2 linked regions of the Tamandua tetradactyla genome follow. The protein of the gene in region 2 purifies or fractionates together with the protein of the main gene of each other region. This does not show direct contact. Links are inferred from orthologs where the notes say so. Each region holds a gene or a part of one and is shown on either strand. Other genes may lie near its edges.

The links.
Region 1: the proteins of ABL2 (region 2) and RIN1 purify together in Homo sapiens (co-immunoprecipitation; 3 studies listed by BioGRID and IntAct, counting the BioPlex papers as one, with this or other methods). This does not show direct contact. The link is inferred for Tamandua tetradactyla from reciprocal best matches to the Homo sapiens genes ABL2 and RIN1.

Annotation. Positions count from the first base shown.
Region 1 is NC_135335.1:8,076,911-8,092,255, reverse strand, and holds the start of RIN1 (ras and Rab interactor 1), read right to left. Parts: upstream 5,757-15,345; 5' UTR 5,501-5,756; coding exon 5,271-5,500; intron 5,108-5,270; coding exon 4,927-5,107; intron 4,808-4,926; coding exon 4,693-4,807; intron 4,605-4,692; coding exon 4,532-4,604; intron 4,385-4,531; coding exon 4,293-4,384; intron 4,152-4,292; coding exon 3,405-4,151; intron 3,105-3,404; coding exon 2,799-3,104; intron 2,508-2,798; coding exon 2,376-2,507; intron 2,222-2,375; coding exon 2,070-2,221; intron 1,153-2,069; coding exon 679-1,152; 3' UTR 1-678. Other genes in the region: BRMS1 (breast cancer metastasis-suppressor 1), read right to left, coding at 6,440-6,681, 7,287-7,326, 7,768-7,832, 8,982-9,074, 9,651-9,747, 9,836-9,915, 10,032-10,159, 10,367-10,457 and 1 more; B4GAT1 (beta-1,4-glucuronyltransferase 1), read right to left, coding at 14,723-14,914, 15,157-15,345; uncharacterized protein LOC143645511, read left to right, coding at 11,853-11,963, 13,376-14,098. UniProt on the Homo sapiens protein: Ras effector protein, which may serve as an inhibitory modulator of neuronal plasticity in aversive memory formation. Can affect Ras signaling at different levels. First, by competing with RAF1 protein for binding to activated Ras.
Region 2 is NC_135330.1:33,420,369-33,435,722, forward strand, and holds the start of ABL2 (tyrosine-protein kinase ABL2), read right to left. Parts: upstream 7,452-15,354; 5' UTR 3,732-7,451; coding exon 3,536-3,731; intron 1-3,535. UniProt on the Homo sapiens protein: Non-receptor tyrosine-protein kinase that plays an ABL1-overlapping role in key processes linked to cell growth and survival such as cytoskeleton remodeling in response to extracellular stimuli, cell motility and adhesion and receptor endocytosis.

The sequences.
Region 1 (15,345 bases), on a different chromosome or scaffold from region 2:
CACCAAGGGAGAGCCTTCTAAAAGGCAGAGACCGCATTCCTGGAAGCAAACTGAGAGTGGGAGGGGTTGCTGACACCCCCTTCTCCCCTTGTGCAAGCTCTGCTTTGGGGCAAACTCATCCGTTTTGACCTGGAACACTTGGAGGCAGGTAGGGCAGCAAGAGTACCCCACTTTACTTAGGTAAGGACGCTGGCTTGCAGGGCTCCTCCACGTGGTCCTGAAACTTTGCTGCCTTGCCCGTCTCCTTGCATCATCCTCACCTGCAGCAGTGGGCTGGAGCCCTGCCTTGGCCCCGTGGGTAGGGGGGTTGCAAAGAGAGCTGGAACCAAACCCTTCTCTATTGCCAGAAGTTGGCATCAGTTGGATCTGACCCCTGTTGGGGACACTCACCGCTACAGGCTGGCTGGCCTCCAGCTGGGGGAGGACAAGAGCCAAGAGGCCTTGGGCGCTTGGTCTGGGGTCCCACAATCCCCCTCCACTTTACTCCAATCCCCCAGATGTGGCCAACCCAGAAGCTCCCAAGCAGGTGGGGTCACAGAGATGAATACCAGACAGCAGCAGAGGAGAGGGCAGGGGAGGGGGCCGTGGAGGTGGTAGCCTGGGCTGGTGGAACTGAAAGGCCTTCCTGGCAGGCTCCAAGAGTCTCCGGCCCATAGGATGCTTCTGGCCACCTCCCAGCTACTCCTCTGCCACCAGGCTTCCCTCAGCCTCTGGCTCCCCTGGCTGAACAGGGTCTCCTCTGGCCTGATGCTCGTCCCCCTCAGCAGCTGTCTCAGCCTCTTCCTCCTTGTCCCTGGGGCTAGCTTTGACCCCACTGTCTCCATCGCCTTGGCTTTCTTTCTCCTGCTCCCTGCTCCCTTCACCTGGCCCCCCACTGCCCTCCTCTGGGGAGGCCCCCAGGGTCTCGGGCCGCTCTGCCTGGCAGTAGACAAGGTAACCAGCTGGGGGAAGTCTGTGGGCCAGGGCTCCAGGGGGCAGGCGGTGGTAACCCTGCTCCTTGTACAGGAAGAGGCCGAAGGTGTCGGGCTGGGTCACTCGGAACTTGGAGGCACAGAGGCGGGTGAGGGTGGCAATCGAGGCTCCTGGGGGCACGGCCAGGGTCTTGGAGGTGCAGCCGTTGCTGGGGTCCTGATAGGCGACTCGGAGAAGGCGCTATGCCGAGGACACACAAAAAACAAATCCTCAACCCTGCCTGGCATAGCTGGCTCCAAAACCTCTACCCCCAGTGCAGCTGTGTAGGGTGAGGGTGGGGCTATATATCAGGTGGTGGGACTAATTGCCCAGAGCTTTCTGGACAAGGTGATTTGCCAGGGAGGCTTGGAGGGAGGGAGAGATGTGCTTGGGCCAATGGGTCACAGGGCTGCCAAAAAAGGACGGCCCTGACGGGGATCTTAGCCCAACAATAAGGGACCCTTGGTAGCTGCCCAGCACCAGGCAGCATTCTCAGCACTTGTACTATATTAACCTACATTAGTAGGTACTATTATCCCATTTTACAGATGAGAAAATTGAGGCTCAAAGAGGTTCCGGGCTTGCCCAAGATTCCACAGCCGGGAAGAGGCAGAATTGGGATTTGAAACCAGGCTCAGGCTACAGAGTCTGGACTTTTAGCCAAGACTAGGGCGGTGCCCTTGAGAGGAGGGAGAGGAGGGAGAAGGATAAGGCTGGGTCTGGCTCCAAGGATGCCCAAGGCCGAGCCTAGACGGGAGGGCAAGGTAAGCATGGGCAGAAGCCCCGGCTGGGGGCTGGGGCCAGGGGTCTGGGCCTGCGCCTGCCATCCGTGTTCCTTCCCTCTCTGCGTCACGTCTCAGTTTCCTCATCTGTAAAACTGGTATAATGACAGTCCTATTTCACGGCGGATGTGAAGATTCTGGAAATGATGGCCCCAGAGCCCTGAGAGCACATGGAATACACTCCCCCCGCAAAGCGCGGCTTTGCTGTTGGTTGTGGCTGGGACCCCCTCCCCTTGCTGTGTCTCACTGGGAAAGGAGGGGCCTGGACCCGATGATGCCAGAGTTTCCTGGGCCTGGGCAGTTTGGGGCAGACAGGGGTGGGGGTGGCCCTGTTACCTGGAGGCTGTGGGTGGCCGGCAGGCGGCGCTGCTCCCAGAGGCTGAGGGAGCGCTGCAGCTCCTGGGAGGGGCTGAGGCGCACGGCCTTGGCCTGGTGCAGGCTGCTCAGCAGGGTCAGGCTGGCCGAGAGGCTGGTCAGGTAGTAGCCGCCTGGGACGCCACGGGGAAGAGTGTGGGTCAGGCTGGGCATGGGGGGGGGGGGGGGAAACGACTGCCTCCCTCTCCCCGTTCCCTGCTCACCCAGGCCCAGAGAGCAGCGAAGACACCCTCGTCCCACCCAGATAGGAAGGTCAGGCCCCCTCACCCTCTCCGGTGAGCAGGGTGGGCTCCAGCAGCTCTGACATGTACTCGGCCTCCAGGAGCAGCTCTGGGAGGTCACACTGGGCCAGGACCAGGCTCAGTAGTGGCAGGAACTCGTCGGCACCAGCGCCTTCCCCTGCGGGGACGTGTGGCAGAGGCGGTTTCAGGGTCCCCCAGGCCTAGGGTCAGGGCCCACAGCGTGTCTTGGCCAGCGACCCCTCCCCTCTGCCTGCCAGCCCACAACTATGTGGAGAGGCTGCTCTGTCATCTGGGCCTCAGTTTCTCCATGTGTAAGATGGAGGATCGGACTGATTCTCCCCTACTGCGCCATTCCTGGGTCCTGGTGCCTCTCTTTGAGATGCCTGCGTCTGACTGTGCAGGGGGCCCGCGGGGGGCAGGGGTGTGGGGGGCAGGGGTGTGGACGTACCCGCCTGGGCCTGCAGCGCCGTGTAGAGCAGCTTGCAGGCCTGCAGGAGCCGCTTGACCTTGGCGCTGGGCGAGTAGGCGCGAAGCAGCTGCAGCAGCTTCTGGCGCACCTGCTCCGTCTCCACCGGGGAGGGAAGGCACAGGTGGGACCCGAAGGCTCCGGGGCCCTGGGCCCGGGCCAGGCGCAGGCCCTCGGCGAGGCAGCCCAGGGAGCCGTTGGCGGAGAACCGGCTCCGCAGGCGGGCTGCCAGGAGGGGCCGGAGGGGCTTGAGCACGGAGCGGTGCAGGGACTTCTCCAGAATGTGCTCTGAGGATGGAGAGCCAGTCAGGGCTCAGGCCTCAGGCCCTGCGGCTGGGGGCAGAGTCCTGGGGAGAAGGGCCAGGACTGGGCGGGAAGAGGGGATGGAAGGTGGAGGAATCGGGGTGGGATGGGAGAGAGGAGGGAGAAGGGACGGACCGAGTCACTCGAGTGATGCTGAGACGAGGTGGGTTTGTAAAGCAACAGGCGCAAGGAGTTAGGCTGGAACTGCGGGAAGATGAGAGCATCGAGTGGGGACTGGCTGGAATTGTGGTGAGGGAAGGCAGGGTCGGGGAGCTGGGGTCTTACCCAGCCTCTCCGGAGGCAGCAGCTTCTCGGGGCCCAGCTCGGCGCTCAGCATGGCCCGCGCCTGGCTCAGCGCCTCGCGGACGGCCTGCAGCTCCTGGGGCTCGGGCCTGGCCCGCACCTGAGTCAGCAGGTCCTGCACCAGCTGGCCCACGGCCGTGTGTCTGTCTTGCACCAGCGACCCGGCCGCCCGGCCCACCTGCCGCTCGGGTGCCAGCAGCGAGCAGAAGGCGGCGCTCATGGACCGCAACAGGGGCCGGCGGCGGCGGCCCAAGCAGGGCGAGGACCCTGAGCTGCGCCGGGATGCTGGCGCCGCCCCCTCCTCCTCCTCCGAGCTGCTAGGGGAGCAGCAGTCCACCTCCTGGAGGGAGGGCAGGGGCGGGAGGCTGGGGCCAGCACTCCACGGCACGCGGTACCCCACGGAGCTCTCCCGGCGCAGCAGCCCGTGAGGGGGCAGCCTCTCGGTCTGGTCCGGGGCTGCCTTGGGCAGCACGGGGACCGGGGGCGGCGGCCCAGCTGGGGGAGACAGGGGGCTGGAGGTCTCCGTGGACACGCGTACTTTGAAGCTCCTCTTGAATTTCTCACGCTTCGTGGGGCCCAGGTCCCCTGGGAACAGGGGGTTGAAGAAGCACAGGGCAGCTCCAGTGCCCTGGTCCAGCTCTTGAGGGGACCGGGGCTTCAGCAGGGGCAGCAGCGGGCCTTCAGGGGGATCCTGTGGGGCCCTGACATTGAGGGGGGAGCTCCAGAACTCTAGGGGGGAGAAACCAAGTGGGGGGGGCCTCAGGAACCGGGGAGGGGAGGGCGCCCGACCCAGGGGGAGGCATGACTTCCGGGTGGGTGGCCGCATGGCTCTCCCTTCCCCTCTCGGCAGGGCTGGCAGGGGGCCCTTACCGACGCCCAGATGGGAGATGGCCTCCAGCTCCTTGTGGGTGGCTGCCTGGCGGATGGCTCTGGGGAGCTGGAGCGGGAGGAGGAGGACATCTCTGGGACCGAAAGAGGGAGCAGAAAGTCCAGAGTGAGGGGATCCCTGGGGCCACGGGGGTCCTGGGAGGGGCCAGCGGGGTGGGGGAAGATGGAAGAAGCAGGGACCCCAGGGACCCTAGATTGGCAGGTGCCCTGTGGACACTCACCGGGTGTGGCAGTAGCCGCAGATGAGCTGGACCAGGTCCGGGAACACGAGCTCCGAGCCCTCCAAGGAGACGCCTGGGAGTCACCGGAAGTTGGGGCGTTCTCTGGGTGTCCCCCAGCTGGCCCGCCCCAGCCCCCTTCCCTCCAAGCCAGCCCCTCTCACCCCGGGGGCTCTCCTGGATGTAGTGGCTAGAGACGAAGGAGGGCCCGCCGGCCTCCGGCAGCCGCACACACAGGGTCTGGCACTGGCGGGTGTTGGATTTCCGCACCAGGAACGTCTGCGGGTGGACGGGAGTTGGGGGTGGGGGGTGCAGCTCCGGACCACGGTGTCTGGCCTCTCCCACCCCCACCCTGCCCTCCCACTGGCCAGGCCCCGCAGGCCGCGGGCAAGACTCACCCCGGGGGGCTGGGTCCTCAGCACGTGCAGAGCGGCCGCTGCGTTGGCCCGCAGCTGCAGCCACACGGGCCGGGTGAGCAGCAGGCGCTCCCGCAGGCTCACGGCGCGGCCCGGCCGCTGGGGCTCACCCACCTGCCTTCCGCCGGCGCCGGGTACATCATACAGCAGGTCGCGGGCTGGCCTGCGGGCGGGCAGCCGGACCTGGGCAGGGTGCCGGGGGCTGGGACCCTTGTCCAACCCTCCCTAGCCCCAAAGACCAGGCTCAGCCCTTCTCCAGCCCCCGGACGGACCCTTTCCTGCCCTCCCTCCCCGTCCCACCTGGCTACCCCTCCAACTTCACTAACTTTTCTATCTCCAGGTGCCTGGGAGCAGAGCTGGACGGGCTGGGGTCTCTGCCAGGGCCTGCGCCCGGCTCTCCGGGGCTGTCCATGGCTGGGAGCGCCTTAGCTTCTCCTGGGACTCGGGAAGCGAATCCAGCCCCCCAGGCGAGGACACTCACATTCCCGGCGGTGAGTAACACTTCCTGAGGGCGGGGCGCCCGGTCACACCCGCCAGTTAACTCTTGTGTGTCCATTCTGCTGCTTCTGCTCTGGGCACAGCCTCAGGGGCCTGGGATCCCCTTCCTGCCTGCACCTCACTGCGGATACCAGTTTTGGGGTTGCTGCCGCCAGTGCTTCCCACTGCCTCCCTGGCCTCAAGCCACACCCCTGGGCGGGAAGGAGTTCATCACGGCTTGCGGGGAAAGGGTTAAGCAGGGCTTGCCTCAGGCCCTGGGGGCCCAAGCCTCGCCCTGGGAACACCTTTAAGTCTGTGGTCAACTGATCCTTTTTTTTTCCTCCGAGGCCTTAGGGTCAGCCTTGTGGGCGAGCGCCCCCTATTGGTTACGGATGACTCATCCCTGAGCCTAACCTGGACTTTGGGATTTCAGGTTGCCATGGAGAAAAGATGCCATGTCGCCATGGAAACGAACCCCTTTGCTTAACTGAGGTGCTGGGGGTGGTTCTAACACTCAGCGCTAAACCGGGGGGAGTCTGGCTGTGAGGTCGTCAGCACACGGCGCTGCTGCCGGCTGCCTCCCACGCACAGGCCCTGCCAGCCTGCCTTGCCAATCTGCCAAGCAACCCGGGCAGGTGCAGACATGACCCAGCCCCCAAGCCCTGAGCACCCGTATGCTCGCCACGTGCTCTACCTGGGCCACATGTTGCTTCAGACTGTGCTAAGAAGTACCGGCCCCCCACCCAGCTCAGAGGTACAGGCTCCTGCTGGGTAGTGGGGAGAGGTGCCACATCCCAGGGACCCGAGGAGGGTCTGCCTGTCCCAGGTGGCTCCCCACGGGAGCCCTGATTCCCTTGCCAGGTGAATCAGACATACACACAGGCCATGCCAGAGTCCCAGGAAAGGTTTTAATTCCAGTCCCTACCACCTAGGAGGCAGACATGAAAAGACGCCCTGAGAGAAGCTGGGAAGCCTGGCTTTCCACCTCCAGCTCAGCCAGGGCAGATGGGCCCCCCAGTCATAAGTTACGATTTAAAGTTCCCATGCAGTGGGGCCTAGCTCCTTCCCTCAGTTCTGGAGAGCTGGAATCCAGGGTCACAGGAAGGGGAAGTTGCTTTGGCTTAAAATGAGGCAAGGGTTCTTTGTCTGGGAGGCATGGAGACGGCTGATCTTTGGGAGGGGGAGACAGTGGGCCGGTCGGGAACAGGGAAGACATCTTGGCTGCCCAGGTCAGCTCCACGTCTACTGCCGTGCAGACCCCTGAGGAGGCGGCGGAGGAAGAGTCCAGACAAGTGACCGCCAGGGGTGAGGCCCCAGCAGCCACAACGGGGGGCCAGCTGGGCTGTCAGGTGGACCCAGAGGGGCTTGTCAGCCCACCCTTCCGCAGGGGAATCTTGGGTTTGGTGCTGGCCACGCCGAGGGACCCCGTGGTGGTGAACAGAGGGTCACGGTCCTGGGGGCATATGGGAAGGGGACAGTCACTGTGGGGAGCCACCAGGGAGGGCCACCTCACATGCGGGCTCGGGGTATGGCTTTGGCTCTGGGGCTGCTCCCCAGCCTGAGCTGCACCGGGGCTCTGGATTCAGCCCTCTGCCCAGGAACTCCCCCCAGCCTTCAGGCCCACACTGACCCAACCTCGCTGGTCAGCCTCCCCCGCCCCAGCAACCCAAAGCTCCCACCCCAGGTTCCTGCAGCCCAAATGCTCACTCCACCCCCAGGTCTAGATCATTCTTTCTGTCTTGGGCCATGATGATTCTGACAGGTCCACTGCTTCTCTCAGGACTCCCTTCTGGAGGTGGGGCTAGAAGAGGTGACAGTAAGGGGACAAGGGGGACGGGAGGAAGTGTAGCCTCCATGGTTCTTACCATCCGATTTTCTCTTCTGAGGGGACACAGCTGCCCTAGCCTGGATGAGCAAGAAGAAAAGCCCCTCTGAGAGCCTGCCTCCAGCTTGGCAAGGACCGTCCCCCCATATCAACCTCCATGGAAGTGGGGGGCTGCTGGATCAGCTGTGCTTTGAGAGGGGTGGGGAGCTTAAGACCCTTTCCAAGCAAAGCCCTGATGTCTGTTTTCAGATACCCAGCCAGCCCAGACGCCCTCCAGGAGCCTGCCACCCTTCCCTCCCTGTCCCCCCACCCCATCGGAACCTGCCCTGCAACCAGAAGGGGCTGGCAGGCTAAAAAGACCGTCTCAGGCAAAGGGAGAACGTCTGTCTGCCAAGGATGATAAGAAACCTGGGTGGCAGAGAACCCTGTCTCTACAGAGACAAGCCCAACTTTGGTATCTGAGAGAGGTCTCACACTGCCCTGTGATGGGGCTGGGGTGGGGGACAGTAGGGACCCCCTACCTTTTTGATAGCAGTCCAGTCCTCTAGAATGTCGATTTCCTGCAGCATATACACGATGTAAGGGCCTGCGACAGGAGTCAAGGAAGCAGGAGCCGAGCGGGGTTGCAGGGGATGGGTGGGGGGGTGGGGCGGGGGGACTGGGGCACCAACCCAGTGCTTGAGAGAGGGCAGCGTGAGACCGGACAGTTGTGAACCTGGGTTTGTGGTCAGGTCTCACCTCCCACCATGAGACCCCACCCCTGGCCCTCACAAGGACCTCACTGCCTACCTCCCCTCGGCTCACCCTCACCTTCATCCAGTCTCAAGGCCTGAGTCCAAGGTGCACCCCACCCCCCTTGCTCCTTCTATTCCCTCCCTTCCTGTGGCATAAACTGTTCCCTCTCCTGGCCCTTTCTCTACCAAGAACAGATGTGGAGGTCTCCCAACCCTGGGCATCACATTTCCCTCTGGGGACTGTCCACTACCCACACCTTACCCCCCGCCCCGTGACCACCTGTGCTCTGCATTTGACATCCCCATGCCCTCACAGTCCATTCATGCCTTAGTGTGCTCCCAGCTGCCTGCATCTGCTCTCCATCACCAAAGTGACCAGGACCCAAGAATCTAGTTCCTTCAGAAATGCCCTCAGAGGTGGCAAAGATAATTCAACATAATTCTGCTGGGATATACCAGGAGGGTCCCGGGGGTGGAGACAGGGCAGGCCTTGGATTGGAGGGGCTCAGGCCCAAGGCAGGGAAGGCAGAGACAACTCCTCCCATGTGGGAGGTGGGCAGCCCAGTTGGCTCACGGAAGAGGTGACACTTGAGATAAGCACCGAACAGGTAGGGACAGCTGTGAAGGCACAGTCGGAGGGTGGAGCACAAGCAAAGGCACAGACGCGGGAGAGCCTGGAACATGCTCTGGGGCAACTGAGTGGCTTGGGAGAAATCATGGAAAGCACAGATGGGCCCAGAGGCCAAACCTCACCCAGAAGTCATGGGGCGTCATTAAACTGATGTTTCTATCTATGGTCCACAGAGCCTAGGAGAGACCCACGGCCCCACAATAAATTTCTGACAGCTGGATCTGCTGGGATATGGTCACATGACACCCAACGACCGCGAATGTCTCTAGTCCAACCCTGCCCTTCGTGTCACCTCCATCCCCCCACCCCTGGGGTCTGGTGCTGACACTGATCCCCCACCCAGTCTCAGGCCACCTTGGGGGAAGGATACCAGAGACGAGAGGTGCCTTCTTCCTCTTGCTGGGTGGCAGGGAGTCCCAGGTCCTTGAGCTGCCCCTGGCGTGCAGCTTGTCATCCCACCACTCTGAGCCCCCAGACCCAGGATCAGTCACAGGTGTTGGCCCTCACAGGCCGTCCCCACGCTTGTAGAGCCAGCCCAGCCTCTCCTCCCTTCCCCACCCACCATCACCCAGGGCCATGCGTGGAAGCCTGGGCTTGGGGTCGGAAGCCTGAGTTCAGGCCCCAACTGCACAGCTGTGCAGCCCTGGGAGAGGTCACTGCACTTTCGTGAGCTTTGGTTTCTTCACTTGCTCCGTGGACAGTGGGGCAATGACAATTCCTGCCTCCTCAGGAGTCCCCCACCCCCAAGAAGCCTACTGGCAGAGCAATGGACATGAAGTGCGAATGTGGAAGTGGGGGAACTGTGGTTACCATACATGTGGGCATGTCCAACCAACACCTCGTTCCTGCAGGAGAACAGGGCGCAGGAGGGCAAAGGAACCCTGTTCCTGGGCCCTGCTGCGTGGCAGGCACAGAATCAAGCCCTCTGCATGCCAGGTCTCAGTCAGTCAGTCCTCACTATGACTCCAAGCAGCAGCTCTGTCCTCATCCCCACAAGCAGTCAGGAAAGCTGAGGTCCAGAGCTGGGTGAGACACTCACCGGAGCTGATGTCCAGACTCTGGCGGTCCTCCTCCAGCCTCTGGATCCGCTCCTGCAGCTCCCCCTGAAGGGTGTCATAGAGCAGAAGCTTCTCACTCTGGGAGAGGCAAGGGCAGCTCAGTCGGGGGGTGGGGGTGGGGGGCAATCCCTGGCCTCACCTACCACCCTGCACCCAGTGCCCTCACCTCCAGGTGCTGTTTGGCTCCCTGCAGCTCACACTCATACTTATTCCTGATCACGTCCAAACAGAAGCCCTTATAGATCCCTGCACAGGGAAGGAGAAAGGGGGTCCTGCTTGATCAGGACCCTGGGTGCCCGAGGAGAAGGGCTGGGAGCACAGAGCTGGGAGGAGGGAGGAGGGGCACAGGATGGCCCACGGACCTGCCACCTGAATGCGAATCTTGAGGCTCCGCTGCAGCCCCCCAAGAGGCTCTGTGTACTCGGGGGCTCTCTCGGCCCCCACTTCTTCCAGCCGCAACCGTAGCTGGCTCAGTCGTTCCCTGAACAACCTGGGAGGTAAAAAGAAAAAAGAAAGGCAGCCATGTAGCTATCTGTCTACCACTCTTGGGCAAACACGTGCCAAGCACCCGCTCCCGGAGGGCCTGGTGTTAGGAGCTCACGCACTCTGGACCCCGGACACCCTGCCCAGCACCAGGCCCACTGCCTCCTCAGCCCAGGGGCCCCCAAGACCCAGCCCCAGGTGTTTCCGGACTCACTTCTCCTTTAGCTCTGAGAACTGCTTCTCCAGGTCTAGCATCTCGTTCACACACTCGCTCCGGCGGCGTTCGCAGTCCTCGTCGTCCATCTCTGAGGACAAGAGGCTGGGCAGGGTTGGCTCTGAAGAGCAGCAAGGAGGGGTGCGCATGTGGTGGGGGAAAGTGGGACTCACCGGAGCTCTCCTCCTCTGACTCCGTCTGGCTGCCGCTCCTTTCCTCCTCACTCTCTTCCTCCTCCCCGTTCATCTCGGCGGCCGAGTCGCCCTCTGCTTCCATCTCCTCTGTGTCTTTGCTCGGAGGCTGGACGGGCATCTGGACTCTGGGGGAAGGAGCGGAGCCATCACTTACTACTGCCCGCAGCTTGGAGTGGTAGAGTGGCCTGACACTTAATCAGAAGGGACAGCCAGGGAGTCCCAGCAGGCAGGAAGGGTACCGCCTGGCCCTATGTCCCAAAAGCCCGGAAGCCATGGATACACTTATGCCCTTGGGCATTGTTGGTGATCCCAATCCTGGGAATACCATCCAAGGAAATGATCTGTGAGATGGGAAAGGCCAAGGGCATGACAGTGCTCAGGGCAGCCTTATTGGTATTTGCAGCCATTGGGGGAAAGCTGGGTAGGCTGGGAGGTAGCCTGAAAAAAAGCAGACATGACAACACAGAAAAACACCTCCGTTACAATGTTAAGGGTGACCCTGGGATACTAAGTTGTCCTTCCTGGGATCCTTATGAGGATGTAGATACATAGTACCCAGCAGGATGTCAGACAAGTTGCCTTTTCCTTTCAAAAAAGTTTGAGGGCTCCCCACTGCCTATGGGACTGGGACCAAACTTCTGATTGGGGCTTTCTTGAAAGCCCTTCAGGCTGGATTTGAGCCAACCATCCAGCTCTCTCGCCCCAAATGTCTACTGACCAGTCCTCAAACTTCCCATGTACTTCTTCCCTGCCTGAGCTGTTCCTTCTGCCCCTAATGCCCTCCTTTTCCTGATAACCTTCTACAGTTTTCTTGTCTTTTCACTGTGCTCTGGGTCAACTCCCACCTCCTTTGCTTCCTCCAGGACCTCATGTCATCGCTGTCCCTTTCTCTCCTGTATCTTCCACTGTTCCCTGGTGGCCGGCTCCTTCCCATAAAACTTTAGCTATGCTCGGTATTTTCCACCATTGGAAAAAAGCAAAAACATAAAAACTTTCCTCATCCCATTTAACCGGTCTTTGTCTTCCACTACCCTACAGCTATGTTTTTCAGGGCCTTAAGTGCACTTGCTATTCCTACTCTCTCATGCTCCATTTATTCCCATCAGTCTCTGTACCTCCTGCTCTCTGCTGAAACGGAGTTAACCAACGACCTACCTTGTGGCTAATGCCAACATTTTTCAGTGCTTATCTTGATTGTCTTCTAGGCAACGTTGCACATTGACAAGCATTTCATCTTTTAGTCACTCATCTAATATTTACTTAGCACCTATACCTAATATACGCCAGGTACCATGAGACACTATGGCAGGTGCGAGGGCCCAACTGTGAAAGATACAATCTTTGACCCTGAGGCACTTATGAGTTCCTGGGAGACAGAGGCAAAGAAGCACCCAAGTACTATGGTGTGAGAAGACCAAAGGCAAATGGAGGAGCATCTAATGGGGATCTGGAGCTTGGCACAGCAGTACAGGCTTCCTGGGGAAGACTGACTTGGATGAGCTGAGCTGGTGGAAGGAGGGAACATTCCAGATAGACTGAGGATTATGTGCAGAGACCCAGCAATGAGAGGAGGGGCAGGGATGGGGGTACATGGTCAAAACCCTAGAGAGAAAACTGAGCTGCAAAGAGATCTGGCCACCAGCGTATTAGTGTATTCTTCAGGCCATGGGAGATAGTGCCAGAGAAGATTCTGTGGAGTGAGAAGGGACCTATGTGGAACTCCCAGGATTGCCAAAGGGGAAGATGAGAAGATCCCTGCAAAGAAGAAGGCAATTAGACAGAGACAGTGGAGAAAAACCCAAAGTCAAAGAGAGAGAGAGAATTTCAGGAGTGGTTGACAAAGTAACAAATCCAGCCTGAAGATTACTGAAGAGGACTTAGTCCTCTGAGCAGATAATCTCATTGCCTCCTGGAGGTTTCTATTTCACTATGATGTTTTTCTAACTTCTCTCCATACTGCTTGTAATCGTTTAGATCAGCATAGATGCCACTCCCTCCAGGAAGACTTCTTTGCTTGCATGTCCTCTGTTTGCCCATTCTCATGTCTGCCTCCCCAGTCTGTGAGCCTCACCAGGGCTGGGGCTGCACGTGCAGCTTACTCACCTAGCATAATACTAGTTCACCTGATGAATGGAGGATTAACAAAAAAAGAATTAAACAAACCAACTTTTGCGGGGCAAAGATTGGTTTCACATCTCAGTAGATCCGGGCCCTTGCAGTGTCAACAAATCTAAAGTGTTCTGTTACCTTCTGTTGACACTGATTCAAGTAGTGTAAAATGCCTGGCCTAAGGAAGAGTTTAGTCACTCTCTTCAGTGATTTCACCAATGATCTGAACAGGACCTGAAAACCACCTTAGCAGAAAGGGAATCTTCGTTTTTTGTCTACCTCGACCAGCCTCACCTTTCCCATTCCCGAGCTTCAGTTCCTGCAGTCTTGTCCATCTACAATTCATTTTAATTGTATATATCAAATTAATGTCAAAAATATGTCAAATATATTTACTCTCAGTGTAAATCTACCTCTTGCACACCGGTGGGGACGGGAATGAGGTGTGTAGGGTAGGGTGGGGTGAAGTAGGGTGGGGTAGGGTGGTGTGGGTTGGGCAGGGCGTCTCTCCTTCAGCTGTCTCTGACCGTGAATGGACTAAATTATGACCTCCCCTCCTTGCCCCTTTGGCAAAAAGGGGATTCCTACTGAGTGTATGCAGATACTAAGAGGGTAAGGGATGAAGACAAAGTGATGGCAAAGCAAACTGTAACACTCCTGTGCACAAGCAATTTATCTTTGCAGACCATGAGCTCCCCGAGAGCAGACAGCCCTGGAAGGCAAGCCCCTCCCCACCCTCGCAGAAGCCAACCCAGCACCTCCGCAGAGGCCCGGGAGCCTCGGGCCCCGGCCCTCCGCAGAAAGCGCGGGTGCGAGCCGGAGAAGCGCGAGCTGCCCAGCAGCCGGCCTCGTCCCCGCGGCCCCTCACGCGTCCGGCCGGTTAAGTCTCTGCTTCGGGCGGGAGGAGGAGATTGGGTCGGTTCCACCCGACGGGCCGGAGAGGCCGAACCAGGCGCCGAGGGCAGCGATACGCACCGCAGTGGCTGCGGCCTTCGGCCTCAAGTCCGACACTCCCCGAGAGGCGCCGGAGGCCGTTGGTACCGACCGCCGCCGCGAGGCCCCCGGAAGCACTGCGCCGGTCTCTCTCCTCCGGGAGGCGGGGTCTGTCGGCGCTTCCGTGTGCGTCATCGGGAGGCGCCCACCAAGGGAGCTCACAATTGGACAGCTGCGGGGCAAGGCACGCTGGGATACTGCGGGCCGGTCACCAAGGCAACCGGCGGAGGTTCACAGGGTCCCTGTGCTGGTGAACAAGGCCTTTTGTGGTTTCCCTGGCTTTGCAGCCGGCGCCCCTCAATCCGCGGCCTCCGCCCCGGCGAACCCGGGACCCCTTCCAGCTCAGGAGAGTAACGGAGCCAGCTGTGGGTGTGAACACTCATTTATTTACAAATTGTCATCGGTAGGCAAATACCCAGCACCAGCTTATTCGAAGGTACAGCTCTCCCCAGAATATCGCCCCCAAACCGCCAGACTGTTCCCTCCTCTAAAGTCCCGAGGGCGCAGGCCTAGGACAACCAGGGAGTTTGGGCTTCGATCCAAAAGCTTGAAACCAGATTCAGTGCCTTCATCTGATTTCTTTCCCCAAAGCCCATTTCGTTAAGTACTGTTCTCCTCATGTCAGCTCTGTCCCATTCCTACTTTTTGCTCTCCTCCCACCCACATCCGCCCCCCAGATTGTTAATAATAACAATAGCGATAACAATAATAATACTGTAATATTAATAATACTTCACATTTGTACGAAGCTTACAGAATGTTTTCACATGTAGCGTCTCATCTGAGCCTCCCAACAGTTCTGTGAGGTAGGTATTCTCACCTCCCTTTTTACAGACGGGGTAACTGAGGCTCAGAGAGAGATAATGGGATCTGCTCAAGGCCACACAGCTAGTTAGTGGTAAAGCTAGGACTCGATCCCAGCACCCCATATTCAAGTCCAGTGTTCCAATACCACAGCTACCTCTGTAAGGTTGAGTGCCATTTCTTACCCCAGTCAGGCCTAAGGGGTGGCCTGAGGAGCCAGGAGGCTAAGACTTCTCAGACTAGGGGAGGGAAGGGCTCAGCAGCGACGGGGGGAGCTGGGGTACTTGGCCTTCAACTCCTGTTTGAACTGGCGGTAAAGGATCTTATTGTGCTGATTTTCGACCTCCTTCTGGGGATGGAATTTCAAAGCTTGTTTGAAGCCCTTATGAACCAGGAAACCTTCGTTCAGCACCTCGAAATCGAACCCTGCCACGTGCAGCTCGCAGGCCTGTGGGAGTGGGGGAAGAGACAGGTCAGCAAGGTTTGGAGACATTCCTGGGGCCACGACTGACGTCCCTACAGCCACACTCAGGCCTTCGGGGACATCCTAATCTTTCACATCATCAACCACTTTCTGACCTGTGACCCTTTTACTTCGTTGCCGCCTTTCCACCCAGAGCTACACCTCCCACCTCTCCTACTCCACCACTCCTGCTGCCCCATCTCCACCACCCTCTCCCTCTTGAGCACCTGGCTGATCCGATTGAAGCCGTACTGCCGAAAACGCTCGTCGAATGTGGGCACCTTGCCTCCGGCCACATAGAATGGCTCCCAGGGGTCCTGCCAGGGCACCACGTAGGCAGGCCTCAGCAGACTCTCCTCGGGCAGGTTGACCCAGCGGGAGTAGTTGGTGGGCGCCTGGCAGGGTGTGCACAGCCC
Region 2 (15,354 bases):
AAATTATCAGAGAGGTCAAGTATATTTCATTCCCTTATATGAAATTATCAGGGGAACAAAAAACACAACTGTCACCAAAACTTCTGTACCATCAATGACCAAGTTAAAGACAGTATTAAGCAGACACTGTAGCCAACTCTTACATTTATATCTTACTTTGTAAGATTCATTATATTAAAATTTAAGGTTTACAAAACTAATAATGTAAGTGAGCATCTATTATATACTAGGCATCGTGTTGGGCTTCAGACTATAAGGATTATAAACCATTAATAAAGCTATTTGAATTTAATATACATAACTACTCTTTATTCTTTCCCCCAGTCTGCTGCTCCCAGAAAACTTCCCATGTCAGTTAGTGGCAATTCCATCTTTTCAGGTGCTGAGGCCAAATCATTTATGACTCCTTTCTTGTCCTCACATCCTACGTCCAATCTATCAGGAAATCATAGTGGCAGTGCCTCCAAAAATATAGCCAGAATCCATCCATTTTTCACTCCCTACACTACTATCACCTTGTCACCACCATATCTCACCTAGATTACTTCAGTGGCCTCTTAACTGATCTCCACATTTCTATTCTTGCTTGCTACTATTTTCAACACACCAGTCAGCTTTTAAGGCCTAATTCCAATCTTGCTAATCCTTGGCCCCAAACTCTTCAACAGCTCTCCCTATTAGAGTGAACACTAAAGTCCTTGGTAGGATGTAAATGACCCTACACTGTATCTGTTTTACTTAGTTTATCTCCTACTACTCTCTTTCCCTAGCTTATCTCATTCTGGCCCTTGGCTTCCTGGTTGTTATCAGAACATGCCAGGCACACTCTTGCCTCAGGACTTTTGCATTGGTCTTTTCTTCTGCCCAAAATACTTTTCCCCAAGGTATTCATGTGATACTTCACCAAAACAGTATCTTTTTGGTACAGCATTCCCTGACTATCCTATTTTTTAAATGCAGCTATTCCTAACAACATTCCCCAATTCCCCACCTCTCTCTGATTTTTCTCCATAGCTCTTATTACCATAAAATATATAACTTACTATTATATTCATATATATTATCTAACTCATCCCACTAGATGTAAATTTTATGAGAACAGGGATTTCTGTCTGTTTTATTCACTGCTAAGTCCCAAGATTCCAGAACTGTACCTGTATATAAGAGGCTTTCAGAAAACATTTGCTGAACAAATCTTATGTACTACTATATTAGAGGAATGCTACAAGAAGACAGGCGAGAAAGCAAACCTCTAGAGTCAGGAAAGGACTAGAGCAGAAGAAATTTAAATCTGATGAGCAGGAACTCTCACTGAAGGCAGTTGAACAAAAGACTGTAATGGATAAGGATACGTATGTGATACGTGTTTTAGGGAGGAACAGCATCAAGCCTGAAGAAAGACTGTTAAAGGCAAATAAGCTTCCTAAAAAACATGTTATTTGACAAAAGGAAAAAACATAATGAGATCTACAGTACAATTTTATATCATCTTAAAAGAAATACAGAGCCCAAACATACTATATATTTTTCAAATATACAAAGTAATAAATATAAAAGTCTTTTTAAGTCCAAAGTACTAAAAAGAACCACAACTTGCAAAACAATAATTTTTATTCCCGACTTTCCTTCTTTCTATCTCTGGTTTTATGGTCTTTTTTGGCCAAGTCAAAATAACTTATTTCCTTCCTTCTTTCTACCCACTTTGTATTTCTTCTCTTTTCTCAAAGTAGTGAGGGTCAATTTCCTGTACAATCAGTCTACACAGGATGCCTTCACTTAAACACCATCTTAACCACCATACCAATACCAAAGAAAAAGAATTTTCTCATCCTAATGTTTTTTGAGGCTTGTTTAATATATGTGTTTGAACATATATTAAAGCATAAAGAATTAAAGAACTAAATGGAAGAGAGCAAGCTAGGGAAAATGGGCAAAAAAAAAAAAAAAAAAGACAGCCCAAGGGAAGAATAAGCAAATGTCATGGTATTACCAAGAAGGTCTTATGCTCCTTTCTTCATTCTAGGCTTCAGACAGTCTCGTGATTCAGATGGATTATGCCCACAACTGTCTAGACTAGAAATGTATTATTTTTGAACACAGTAAAGTTGCTAATATATATTGGTATCTTAAATAGAGAATGAGTTAATCTTTCATTTAAATACTTAAATAGAGGTAGACCAAAGAAGACTTAAATAAGAAAATAGAAGACCATGAGTTTCACTATGGCACAGCAGAAACTTGGAGCAGAAACACATTATGATTATCAAGAAAAGGTACAGAAATAGCTTGTAAGAAGTAAATTATCAGGATTAAACAAGTTAAAATCCAAAATAATAAAACTTGAACTCAAATTCAGAGAATTCCTTAATGTTTAATTTTATTAAAGACACTTTTACTAGTCATTCAATAACTATTATCAGTTTAGCCAGAAATCTGTCACACAGAAATTGGATAAATTAATATATAAAATTTTCAATTTAGGCATTTTCAATTATTTTACAGACATCTTGTCAGAATTCTACTTTATCTGATTACAACATTCTCTTAGAAGTTACTAATATTTTTACCTGTTAAAAACTATGTAAGGTAATTAGATAAATTATTCAACAGTTTTTAATGTGGTTTAAGTTCTTCACATCAAGCCATACGTATCTTTTGGGGGAGGGGTACTGGTATTTAAAATTATATATTTTTATTGAGAAATATATACACACACAGTCCAGTTATACCGCATATTCAATGGCTCACAATATCATCACTTAGTTGTGTTTTCTTCACCATAATAATTTTTAGAATGTTTACATCACTTCAGAAAAAAAAAAAAAAAGTACTCATACATCCCATATCCCTTACTCTACCTCTCATTGACCCATAGTATTTCAATCTACCCAATTTTTAGCCTTTATCTCCCCCTTTTATTTATTTGTTATCCTTATTTATTTTTTATTCATCTGTACAGACCCTGGATAAAAGAAGCATCAGATACAGGGTTTTCACAATCACATAGTCACACTGTAAAAGCTGTACGTTTATACAGTCTTTTTTCATAATCAAAGCTACTCGAACACAGTTCAACAGTTCAGGTACTTCCCTCCAAGCCACGCCAACACACCATAAACTAAAAAGCGTTATGTATATAATGTGTAAGAATAACCTCCAGGATAATCTCTCAACTCTGTTTGAAATCTCTCAGCCACTGAAACTTTATTTTGTCTCATTTCTCTCTTCCCCCTTTTTGTCAAGAAGGCTTTCTCAATCCCTTGATGCTGGGTCCCGGCTTATCCCGGGGAGTCATGTCCTACATAGGGGGAAGCTATACACATCTTAATGCATTAAAATACTGTATATTATACATTCTTTCATTCAATAAGTATTCATTGAGATCATACTACAAATACCAAGAAAAAAGCACATGAACCGTCACTGATCAACAATGAAGATAACAATAGTAAAGATTAATTTTAAAAAATCTCCATTCACACTTGATTTCTGTGGTTACTTATCTTCCCCCCAAACAATCACCTCTGAACGATACCTGTGAAGTTGGGTAAAGCAGATTCTGAGGCCTCACTGCAGAGACAGCAAAGAGTTATATCCTCATCTCTGTCATAACCATTATGTGGAAGCAGGACTGTCCCAAGGATCATACCTCTTCCCAGAAGTAAAAAGTTCAAGTGTCCTATGTAATGAGGAAGTCTTAGAATTCCACCCTCTGACAAGCAATACCACATGCATGTGACAGTTACTCATGCATTTCAGCAGCCAGAAGAAACCAATCAAGGGGAAAGTATTGCATCTCCCAAAGTGGGTGGAGAATGAATGACCTAAAGGGAAATGTCTAGTAATAGCAAAAGATCGAGTCACAATAGAGTTATTTATTTATTTTTTACATGGGCAGGCTCCTGGAATTGAACCCGGGTCCTCTGGCATCACAGGCAAGCATTCCTGCCTGCTAAGCCACCGTGGCCAGCCCACAATAGAGTTATTTTAAGAACTATGGGAATATTCAAAATAAAGCAAAAAGCAAAACATGAGTAATAAATAGTTTAATAATAAAACAATCTGGGATTAGTTCATACAGTTGGGTATTCATTCCTAAGCAGATGATTAGGTGAGACTGCTGAGAAAAGTTTTCTTGGAGAAAAACCATTACTATAAAACAACGAATATACTTTTAAAAGAAAGGAAATGCCGAGCAACACTCACTTTTTATGTCAATTATATTAGCTCAAGAAACCACAAATCCAAAACCAAAGAAAGAGTTAAGATATGATTCACAACCACAGAAGCCCGGACATGATAGCCTTTGCTAAAATTTTGGCACTACAGCTTAATAAAGGTTAAAAACATGGCATGATAGTGTTAACTACTTTTCAGTATTAATAATTTAAAAAGTAAATGTCTGATCTTTGTTAATATATAGGAACAAAGTTAAATAAAGTCGAAGAACCTGAATATGAGAATACCTTATAAGAATTAAAATTTACAAATAGTAGATGTCATTAATGTTATGACCTAGAAATATAATGCCAAGAAGTGTTTGTGACTGTTTAGCTGAGAATATCCACTGATTCAGTAAATATTACACATCTACTATGTACCAGATTGATTCAATAAATATTTATTAAACATCTTACAGTACCAGGCATTGTTCTAGATCCTAGGCTAATCAAGATAACAGGGTAAATTTCAGAAAGTCAAGACTGAAATAGTACTCAATAAAACAGAAGCATAAAATTGTAATATAACTTGACTAGGGAAGAATGAATTTGATATAATTAGTTGATGGTTAACTTCTGGTGTCAACTTAACCAGCTGATGGAGCCCAATTGTCTGGTCAGGCAAGTACTAGCCTAATCGTTATTGCAAGAATATTCCATGTCTGGTTGATAAACCAGAAGGCTGGTTTATTTAATCATCAGTTAGTTGATTGCATTTGTGACTGATTACACCCACGATCAACTAACGGTGTGCCTCCCACAAATGAAACAACCCAAACAGTTGGATTTGATTCAATCAGTTGAAGACTTTTAAAGGAGAAAAGAGAATTTTCACTGCTTCTTCAAAGCCAGCCAGCCAACTTCTCCTATAGAGTTCGTCAAGACCTTCAATGGAGTTGCCAGTCTCACTGTCTGCCCCTTTTGGACTCTTGCATTTCTGTGGTGGCATGAGATATTTTATAAATCTTGTATTCACAGGTATCTTCTGTTGGTTCTGTTTCTCTAGAGACTCATAATACATTAGGCTTTTTTTTTTTCCAAAGCTAATACTTTCAACAAAATTAACTTTAAAAGACTGCTACCGGGCAGGCCACGGTGGCTCAGCAGGCAGAGTTCTTCGCCTGCCATGCCAGAGACCCAGGTTCAATTCCTGGTGCCTGCCCATTCCAAAAAAAAAAAAAAAAAAGACTAGGACTGTCATCCACCTGAGGAAAGCAAAAATTAAATGACTAAAGTAGTAAGTCAGAATTTCAAACAACATATTGAATTTCTCCTTCCCTGGATTACAAAAATGTAAAGGGAATGTTTCTATCAGCTTTATTTGTAATAACCAAAAAGTGGAAACGACCCAGATGTCCTTCAGCTGGTGAAATGTTCAACAAACTGCATACCTAAACCATGGAATTCTACTCAGCAACAAAAAGAGAATAAACTATCGATACAAGCAACAACCTGAATCAAACTTTAATGGAGTATACTGAGTGAAAATAGCCAATCTCCCCAAATTAAAAGCCATATGATTCCATCTATATAACATTCTTGAAATGATAAAATTATAGAAATAGAAACCAGACTAGTGATTGCCAGGGGTTAAAAAGCTGGTGGGTGGGGCAGAAGAAGAAGGGGGTCATGTCTAGGGCAACAGGAGGGATCATTGTGGTGATGGAAATGTTCTGTGTTTTGACTAACAATGTCAATAACTTGGTTGTGATACTGTACTGTAGTTTTATAAGAGTTGCGTTAAAATGTGGGGAAAGCAGAGTAAAGGGATTTCCCGCTAACACTTCTTGCAACAGCAAATAAATCAAAATAGTCTCAAAAGTTTAAAGAAATTACAATATCCAAAATATACAAAGAACCCTTAAAACTCAACAAGAAAATAAACAACCCAATTAAAAATGGGCAAAATGATCTAAACAGACATCTCACCAAAAAAGATTCACAGGTAGCAAATAAGCATATGAAAAGATACTTAACATCATATGTCATTGGAGAACTGCAAATTAAAATAACAATACCAAATACTGATATGGCTGTGAGGCAACAGGACCTCTGATTCACTGCTGGTGGGGATGCCAAATAGTACAGCCAATTCACAAGACAGTTTGACAGTTTCTTACAAAGCTAAATATAGTCTTACCATATAATAATACAGTGAGCCACCCTTAAAAATTGCCTCAAGTGAATTGAAAACTTATGTCCATATGAATCAAGCACATGTGATAAAGGGGGAAAATTCAACTTCTCCAAATGGAGAATTCTTGATATTCTCACAAGCAGTGGGGACAACCAAAGCAATAGGCTGAGCCCCCAATCTTGGAGTTTGTTCATATGAAACTTAACCCTGCAAAGGATAGGCTAAACCTACTTAAAATTAGGCCTAAGAGTCACCCCCGAAAGAAACTCTTCTGTTGCTCAGATGTGGCCTCTCTCTCTCAGCCAACATGACAAGCAAACTCACTGCCCTCCCCCTCTCTACATGAGACATGACTCGCAGGGGTGTGGACCTTTCTGGCAACGTGGGACAGAAATCCTAGAATGAGCTGGAACTCAGCACCAAGGGATTGAGAAAACCTTCTCGACCAACAGGGGGAACGGCAAAATGAGACAAAGCAAAGTGTCAATGGCTGAGAAATTGCAAACAGTCAAGAGGTTATCCTGCAGATTATTCTTACGCATTATACAGATATCACCTTTTTAGTTAAGGTGTAGTGGAGAAGCTGGAGTGAACTACCTGAAAATGTAGAGCTGTGCTCCAGTGACCATGTTTCTTGAAGATGATTGTATAATGACACAGATTTTGCAATGTGATTGTGTGATTGTGAAAACCTTGTGTCTGGTGTTCCTTTTATCTACCTCATCGACAGACGAGTAAAATGTATAGATTAAAAATAAATAATAGGGGGAACAAATGTTAAAATAAATTTAGTAGATTGAAATGCTAGTGATCAATGAAAGGGGGGGTTAAGGGGTAGGTACATATGAATTTTTCTGTTTTATTTTTCTAAATTGATGCAAATGTTCTAAAAAATGATCATGATGATGAATATACAACTATGTGATGAAAGAAAAGAATGTTCATATTGTATGTTGATTGGTTTTATTAATAAAAAATTTTTAAAAAGGTGAATGGATACATTGTGATACATCCATACAATGGGATACTATTAGCAATAAAAAAATGAGGGTGCACAGGTGGTTCAGTGATAGAATGCTCACCTTTCATGTGGGAGACCCAGGTTCGATTTCCAGACCATAAACCCAGGAAAAAAAAAAAAAAAAAAAAAGAAATGAGCTATCAAGTCACAAAAAAGACATAGGAATCTTAAACTTACATTGCTTCGTGAAAGAAGGCAGTCTGAAAAGGCTACATACTATTTGATTCCAATGTTATGACATTCTGGAAAAGGCAAAAATATAGAAAAAGTAAAAAGATCAGTGGCTGCCAGGGCTTTGGGGTGCGGAAGAAGGAGGAAGGGATGAATATGTAGAACACAGGCCACTTCTAGGGCAGTGAAACTATTCTTATTGATATTGTAAATTCTATACATAACATTACACATTTGTCAAAACCCATAGAACTGTACTACACAAAGAGTGAACCCTAACATAAACTATGGACTTTAGTTAATAGGGGTATCAACATTGGTTCAATTGCAACAAATGTACCATACTAATAGAAAATGTTAATGGAGAAATTGTGTGCAAGAGACAGGATTACATGGGAACTCTCTATACTAACTGCTCAATTTTCTATAAACCTAGAACTGTTATAAAAATAGTTTTATTAACTTCAAAGAAAGAAATTATAGACAAAAAACCTCCCTTAATCCCATAGTTCCCTCCAAATCTTTCCTGAACTGCAAACTCATATGCAATTGCCTCATCAACATCTCTTCTTTTCTATTCAATCAAAGTTTCATATATTCAAAACTTGAAGTACTGACGTCCTGTTCCCCAAAGTCTATTCCCCCTCAGTAAATGGCAATTCCATTCTTGCAGTTACTTGGCCAAAAACCTCGCACTCATCTTTCAGTCCTCTCTTACATTCATACCTACATTTAATCCATCAGCAAATCCTGAAGGATCTACCTTCAAAATTTATCTTGACTTCAACTACTGCATACCATTTCCACAGCTACTTTCACAGTCTAAGCCACTTTCGCCTACATTACTGCAATATACCCTTAATTGGTCTCCCTCTTTTGGCTCTGGCCTCCTTCAGTCTATTTTCAACATAGCGACTAGAGAGACTCTTAAATCCTAAATTATATTACTCTGCTCAAAACCCTCCATTGGTTTCCCATTTTGCTCAGAATAAAATTCAGATTTTACTATTTTCTACTAGGCCTTCCATTCAATCCCTTTCTGAAATCATCTCTGGCAACACTCTCTCCTGGCTAGTCACTGGAAACCTTGCTTCAGGGACATTACATTTATTTTTACCTTTGCCTGGAATGCTCTTCCTGCAGATTTCCACATAACTTAGCTCCTGTGTCATTTATCACTTTATTGCTTCTTTATTACATGTTCTGTGATAATGGGTGAAATTCCTTTAAGCATTATTCCTTTACAGTGAGCATAATGTTAAGCTCTCTCTGTTAGAGGAGTCTAGACGGACAATGGAGAAGGAAGGAGCTTTCCTACTGTTTCTGGCAGCTGCAGCATTGGTCAGCAGTGTGGATGAGGCTATCTAGCCTCAGGTTAAGCTGCCCTAGCCATGTACTCAGAAGACATGGTGGTTTCCTTGGCAACCTTGTCACTGGCCTCACTCAATGTGGACATCCCATGATCCAGGCTTCCTGTCTACATAAGGACCCAAATTCGCCTACTCCCATAAATTATTCTCTCATAACCCTCCTGATTCTGAATTCTGACATGAACATCCTGTAGTCCATGCCTTGTGTCTGTCCAGCTTCCCAACTTTTTCCTCCTTACCAGCATCTACTGGAGTTTGTTTTCAGCTTCCCTCCTGATACCACAGCCCTCCCCATGATGAACACCATGCATTCTGGGCCCCCCACCCATACTGGTATTTCCATGTCCACCGCACACTGTGTGCCTGGCAACCAGCTATGGCTCACCTGCACCTCAGAGGATTACTTTTTACCTGCCAAATGACTGTTTACCAGAATATCTGAACCAAGCAAACATTCAACTTCTCACCCATCAAGTGGGCTGCAATGACACCTTCTCCAATAAGGTCTGAAATCCCCAGGGAGGGATCCCTTTTTCAACTTTGTCTTAGCTTGGGTACTCTACCCCAGCCTTAGAGCAGCATCATATAGAGTTCTCTTATAGCTTTTGATTCTTCTTTTATCATGGCTTAGTAATTATTTTTAAATCACTGAGTTGTTTCTGACTCCTAATTAAACCCAGACTGATACAGTTCCTTTGTTCCTGCAGGGCTGACAGGCATATATAAATAGCAAATCTCCTCCCACTGTACTCTCTGTTCTTTTTTCTCTGCTTTGTTTTTCTCTACCTGATATATATTTATTTGCTTAATGTGTCTTCTCCCACTAGAATGCAAACTCCATGATGGCAAGGCCAGACAAATAGAAAGCATTCAAATACGTGGTGAATAATGAATAAAAAGCTCCAATTTAAATTTTTTTCCACCTTGGGTACTTAATGTAGACTCCCACAAATCTTCATACTTTTCACATAATTTTTTACCTACCTTTTGCTCCCCGGAGGAGAAAAGTTTTGTTTTGTTTTATTTTGGGGGGGGCAGGGGGGAGGAGGGTAGCAAAGAGCTGTACAGGCACTAAACAGGGCTTTGGAGCCAAGTGCACCAGTTGAATCATAAGCTCAAGGACAATGAGACTATATTTGGAGTTCCATCTAAAGTCTTTGGTGTAACCATTAGTAGAGTCAATTTTCAATCATCTGGTGACAGGGTAATTGGTTTATGGATTAATCAGAATGGAGGGGAAGTGCATCTGCAAAGAAATTTAAGTTATTATGAATTAACAAAAACATCTATTTATAAAAAAGATGACTTCCTTTGAATTACATAGTAACCAGTAGAGGCCACACAGCCTCTAATGGAATATGATAAAAGCCTTCTCCCTTGGTCATCAATCATTCATTCATCCAACAAACACATATTATATTATCTACAATATACCAAGTACTACAATAATACTGTCGTCCTCAGAGATAGCAGTTAGCCACACATCAGAAGCAAAGAGAAGAACATATCCAGGCAGGTTCAAATATCCTAAAGAGACATTTGTTGCAGGAGACAACTGACAAACAAAGGGAAAAGAGAAGTAAGTAAGCAAGCAGTAAGCACTAGGCTCAATCCAGGCCTTATTCTAATACTGGATAGAAGGACAGTTCAGCCAAGAAGCCTACAGTGTTAACAGAATATTTTAAAAGAGGGTAACGTTTGTATTGGCAAAGTCCCTTTAGGGATGGGACAAAGACTATGGAACTAATAAACTTTATCATCAGGGAATCCCCTGATACTGTGTCAAACTTCAGGGACACCCAAATCAATAGGCCAAGCCCTTGATCATGAGGCTTACTCTTGTGAAGGTCATGCAGGTAGCAGAGAAGCTTAGCCTACCTATAGGCATGACTAAGAGTTACTTCTGGAGGACCTCTTTTGTTGCTCAGATGTGGCCTCTCTCTCTCTAAGCCCAACTCTGCAAGTGAAATCATTGCCCTCCCCACTACAGTGGGACATGACATCCAGGGGCAAAAGTCTCCCTGGTGGCATGGAAGAGGACTCCCAGGGATGAATCCAGACCTGGCTCCATGGGATCAACAATTACATCCTGACCAAAAGGGGAAGAAGAAGTATAATTAATAAAGTATCAGTGGCAGAGAGAGTTCAAATAGTGTCGAGAGGTTACTTTGGAGGTTGCTCTTACGCAAGCTTCAGGTAGACCTTGCTACCTATCATAACCTGCCAACCCCCAACCAGGACCATTCCAGCCAATCCTAAAGAACATCTAGGGCAATATATAAGATTCCAAGGGTTCCAGGCACTAGGATAACTTTCCAGAAACCTACAACCTCCAGAAAGGTCCTTGATCCGGATAAGTCCTAAAACCTAGCCCAGCCTCTCTAGAACATCAGATAGTTACACCTCCTTACTCCATTTAGTGACAGACCATTCCAATATGAAAAATTTTAAATCGCATAGCCCAAACACCCCTAAAAAGAGGGATGGAAAGATCAAAGGTGATGGTGGAGTTATACAGAGAAGACAGGATTTAACAAATGAATATGAATATTGAATCATTAAATTGATATCTCTTTTAGTCTCCAATATTTTAGAGTAGCTAGAAGTAAAAACCTAAAATTGTAGAACTGTAACCCATGTTAAACTCTGAGATATGTTCTGCAGCTAACTGTCCTGTGCTTTGAAATTTATAGCTTTTTTATACATGTTATTATGCATTTAAAAAAGGAATAAAAGTCAATTTGTGATGATTAAAAAATATTTAAACCTTCTAACCTCCTATATTCTGTAGCAGCCAGAAGGAAAAAACTAAGAGGATCGTATGGTAGACCATGACAAACTCTGTGATCTGTCCTGTAACTACTTGGTGAAGAGCGCTTCGAAAACTATTGCTTTTTTATTTCTTTGCTTTGCAGATATGTTATACTATACAATAAAAAAAATTAAAGAAGAAAAAAGAGGGCGACTTTTTTCCCTGCAACAGATGATGTTCATTCATCTTAAACTCTTGCACTGATGTTATTTTTGTAGTCTGAGGTGACATCTATAAATCAGTGAATGTGTTCTTAAATATTAGGTAAATAATTTGCTCTAGTTTGCTAGCTGCCAGTTTTCTGGCTTTTAAACGGCTTTTAAAAAGGGGAATTTAATAAATTTACAGTTTAACAGTTTACACAGTTCTAAGGCTGTGAAATTGTCCAAATTAAAACAATTTTATAGAAATATCCAATTAAGGCATCCAGGGAAAGATACCTTGGTTCAAGAAGGCCAATGATGTTCAGTGTTTTTCACGCTCAGCGGGAAGGGCACATGGCGAACATCTGCTAGCTTTCTCTCCAGGCTTCTTGGGTTTTCATTCTTCATCTCCAAAGGTTGCTGGCTGGTGAACTCTGTGGTTCTCTTGTCCTTCTGTGAGGGATCTGCAGCACTCTCCCTGCTCTCAAAAAGGAACTCTCTCCAAAATGTCTCCTCTTCTTACAGGATTCCAGCAAACTAATCAAGACCCAAATAGAATGGGTAGAGATACATCTCCATCTAATTAAGTTTAATACCCACAATTGATTCACATCTCCATGGAAATAACCTAATCAAATTTCCAGCCTATAGTGCTGAATAATGATTAGACGAAACAGCTGCTCTCACAACACTGATTAGTATTAAAACATGGCTTTTCTAGGGTACATAAAATTATGTATTGGTTTGAAAGGATTTATCTAAGTAAATTCACATTAAAAACATTTTGTTTTTGTTTTAACATCTTTATCTGCACTTTTCTCACTTATCTTCTTACCAAGCTTACCCTACCTAGGAAACTGAAAGTTGCTATTTGTGGTGCTTACAGAAAAACTAATAAAATCTATCACAAAACGAAACTGAAAATAGCATCATCTTTGTTTTTTTTTTTGTAGATGCTAACCATGACAATTATTTATACTGTCAACAACAGATATCACTATTTTCAGCTTTCTTTTAAGCACAGATCTGATACAATTGAGTGGAAAAATGTAGATTCTACATTTTCTACTTCATGGAATAAATCCTCTGGGTGAATCACCTTATATTTCAGAATGAGAGGCATTAGTTTAAATAAATTTATTTCAATTAGAATTTTTAGCCCCCTTACTTCATAGCTACATTCTAAAATCGGTTTCAATTTAATCTGGAAATCCAACTGCCAGTTTTACAAGGCATAAGTATTAGATAGTGTTCTAGTTTGCTAACTGCCGGAATGCAATACACCAGAGACAGATTGGCTTTTAATAAAAGGGGATTTATTTCGTTAGTTCTTCAGAGGAAAGGCAGCTAACTTTCAGCTGAGGTTCTTTCTTACGTGGGAAGGCACAGGACGATCTCTGCTGGCCTTCTCTCCAGACCTCTTTGGGTTCCAACAACTTTCCCCGGGGTGATATCTTTCTGCACCTCCAAAGGCCTGTGCTGAGCTGCGAGTGCTGAGATGAGGTATGCTGAGCTGCTTGCGCTGTGCTACCTTGCACTCTCATTTAAGCACCAGCCAATTAAACATCATTCACTGCAGCCGGCATGCCTCCTAGCTGAGTGGAGATATCATCAGCAACAGATGAGGTTCACATGCCACTGGCTCTTGTCCACAGCAACAGAACCAGGTGCCTTCACCTGGCCAAGTTGACAACTGAATCTAACTACCACAGATAAGTTGTCCTTTCCTTCTATTCAACAGGAACAGCAAATGCGCCCAAGGTTGTGCATAAATTACTTCAACAAAAATCATTTCTCCTGTTATCTTATTTCAAGCTTCTGCACCTTCTCTCATCCCTCTCCCAGTATTCCAAGTTTTGATATCTTCAAGTTACTGTTCAGTGCCTCCAGAAGGTCTTGGAAAAGGAAAACTCATAGAACACTTGGTTCTAAAATACCTAAATCCCTCACTTCAACATCAAGCGTACACTACTCATTCAGGATAGAAACGTTCAGCTTTGTAAAAGGGCAGATATGTATTCTTTTCATTCAATTAAAAAAATAGGCAAGGATAAATGAAAATGTTTCTTTTCATATGCATTTAGCTTCATCTAAAATAAGGTTCAGCAAACTTTATCTGTGAAGGGTCAAATAGCAAATATTTTTAGGCTTTGCAATACATATGGTTTCTGTCATACCTGCTCAACTCTGCCATTGTTTGAGGAAAGCAGAGACAAAGGCATTATGTAAACAAACAAGCTGACCTGTGCCACAATAAAACTTAACTGATGAACACTGAAATTTGAATTTCACATAGTAATATTGTTCTTTTAATTTTTTTCAACCATTAAAAATGTAAAACCGGGCGGGCCATGGTGGCTCAGCAGGTAAGAGTGCTTGCCTGCCATGCCCGAGGACCCGGGTTCGATTCCCGGTGCCTGCCCATGTAAATAAAATAAAATAAAATAAATAAATAAAAAATAAAAATCTAAAACCATTCTTAGGGTTGCGAGCCACACACACAGACAGACAGTGGGTCAAATTCGGCCTACAGGCTGTAGTTTGCCAGCTCCTGATTTAGAACAGGGGATAAAATTGTATTATCCTTAAGTTCTATCCTCAGACCAAAAAATTTATCTCTGGTTCTCCCGTTAATCATCACTTCCTCTGGTGACACACCATGGCATACTTCAGTGCCTTGAAAGAAAATAGTTTAATTATAATTCAAATTGCAAATTACCCAATCTTAACCCCTATGCTACTGAACAAAATAGGCGTAGAATAATAGAAATATTTTTACTTTGGATTATGAACAAACACGAATAAATGTCAATAAAAAGCTTAGCATCTTACATATCAGTGAAAGAATTCCTGAACAGAAGAAAATATAAGTTCTAGTCAGTCCTAGGTATTCTACTACTCTACAGGGCTGTACTGGGTAGGTTACTTAACAGTTTTGGCCTTAGTTTTCTCATCTGTTATTTTATCAAACTAAGAGAACTCAAGGTGCTGGTGAGCTCACCCATTCGGTGAACTTATGGACCTCTGAAGATATGTAAATACTTGGCAATCTGTAATCAAAATTAAGTGTGCCATTATAATATGCCATTATAATATGTAATAATATTACATTATTAAAATCATGTCATGACACCAAATTCCCAACTAAAACTGTAAAACTGAGCTTATTAGTAGTAGGATGTCACTGTCCTCTAAATACAAGGTTTGAGAATAAAAGTTTCTTAAATCTTTCCATGTATGGAATCCTTCCAGCTATCAGAGGCTAAGTCTTAAAAGAATATACTGATTTTTCAAAAATCTGTCCATCTTTTTCCAAGACAGAAATGAAGATTTTCCTATAGCTAGAATGATGCCACTTCAAAATTGTAATTTTATTACAGAGAAGCAATATTTAATTCAGTATACTGGATATAGTGGTTTGAAACTGTCTGTGCCCCAGAAAGACATGTTCTTAAATTTAAGCCACTCCTATGGGAGTAG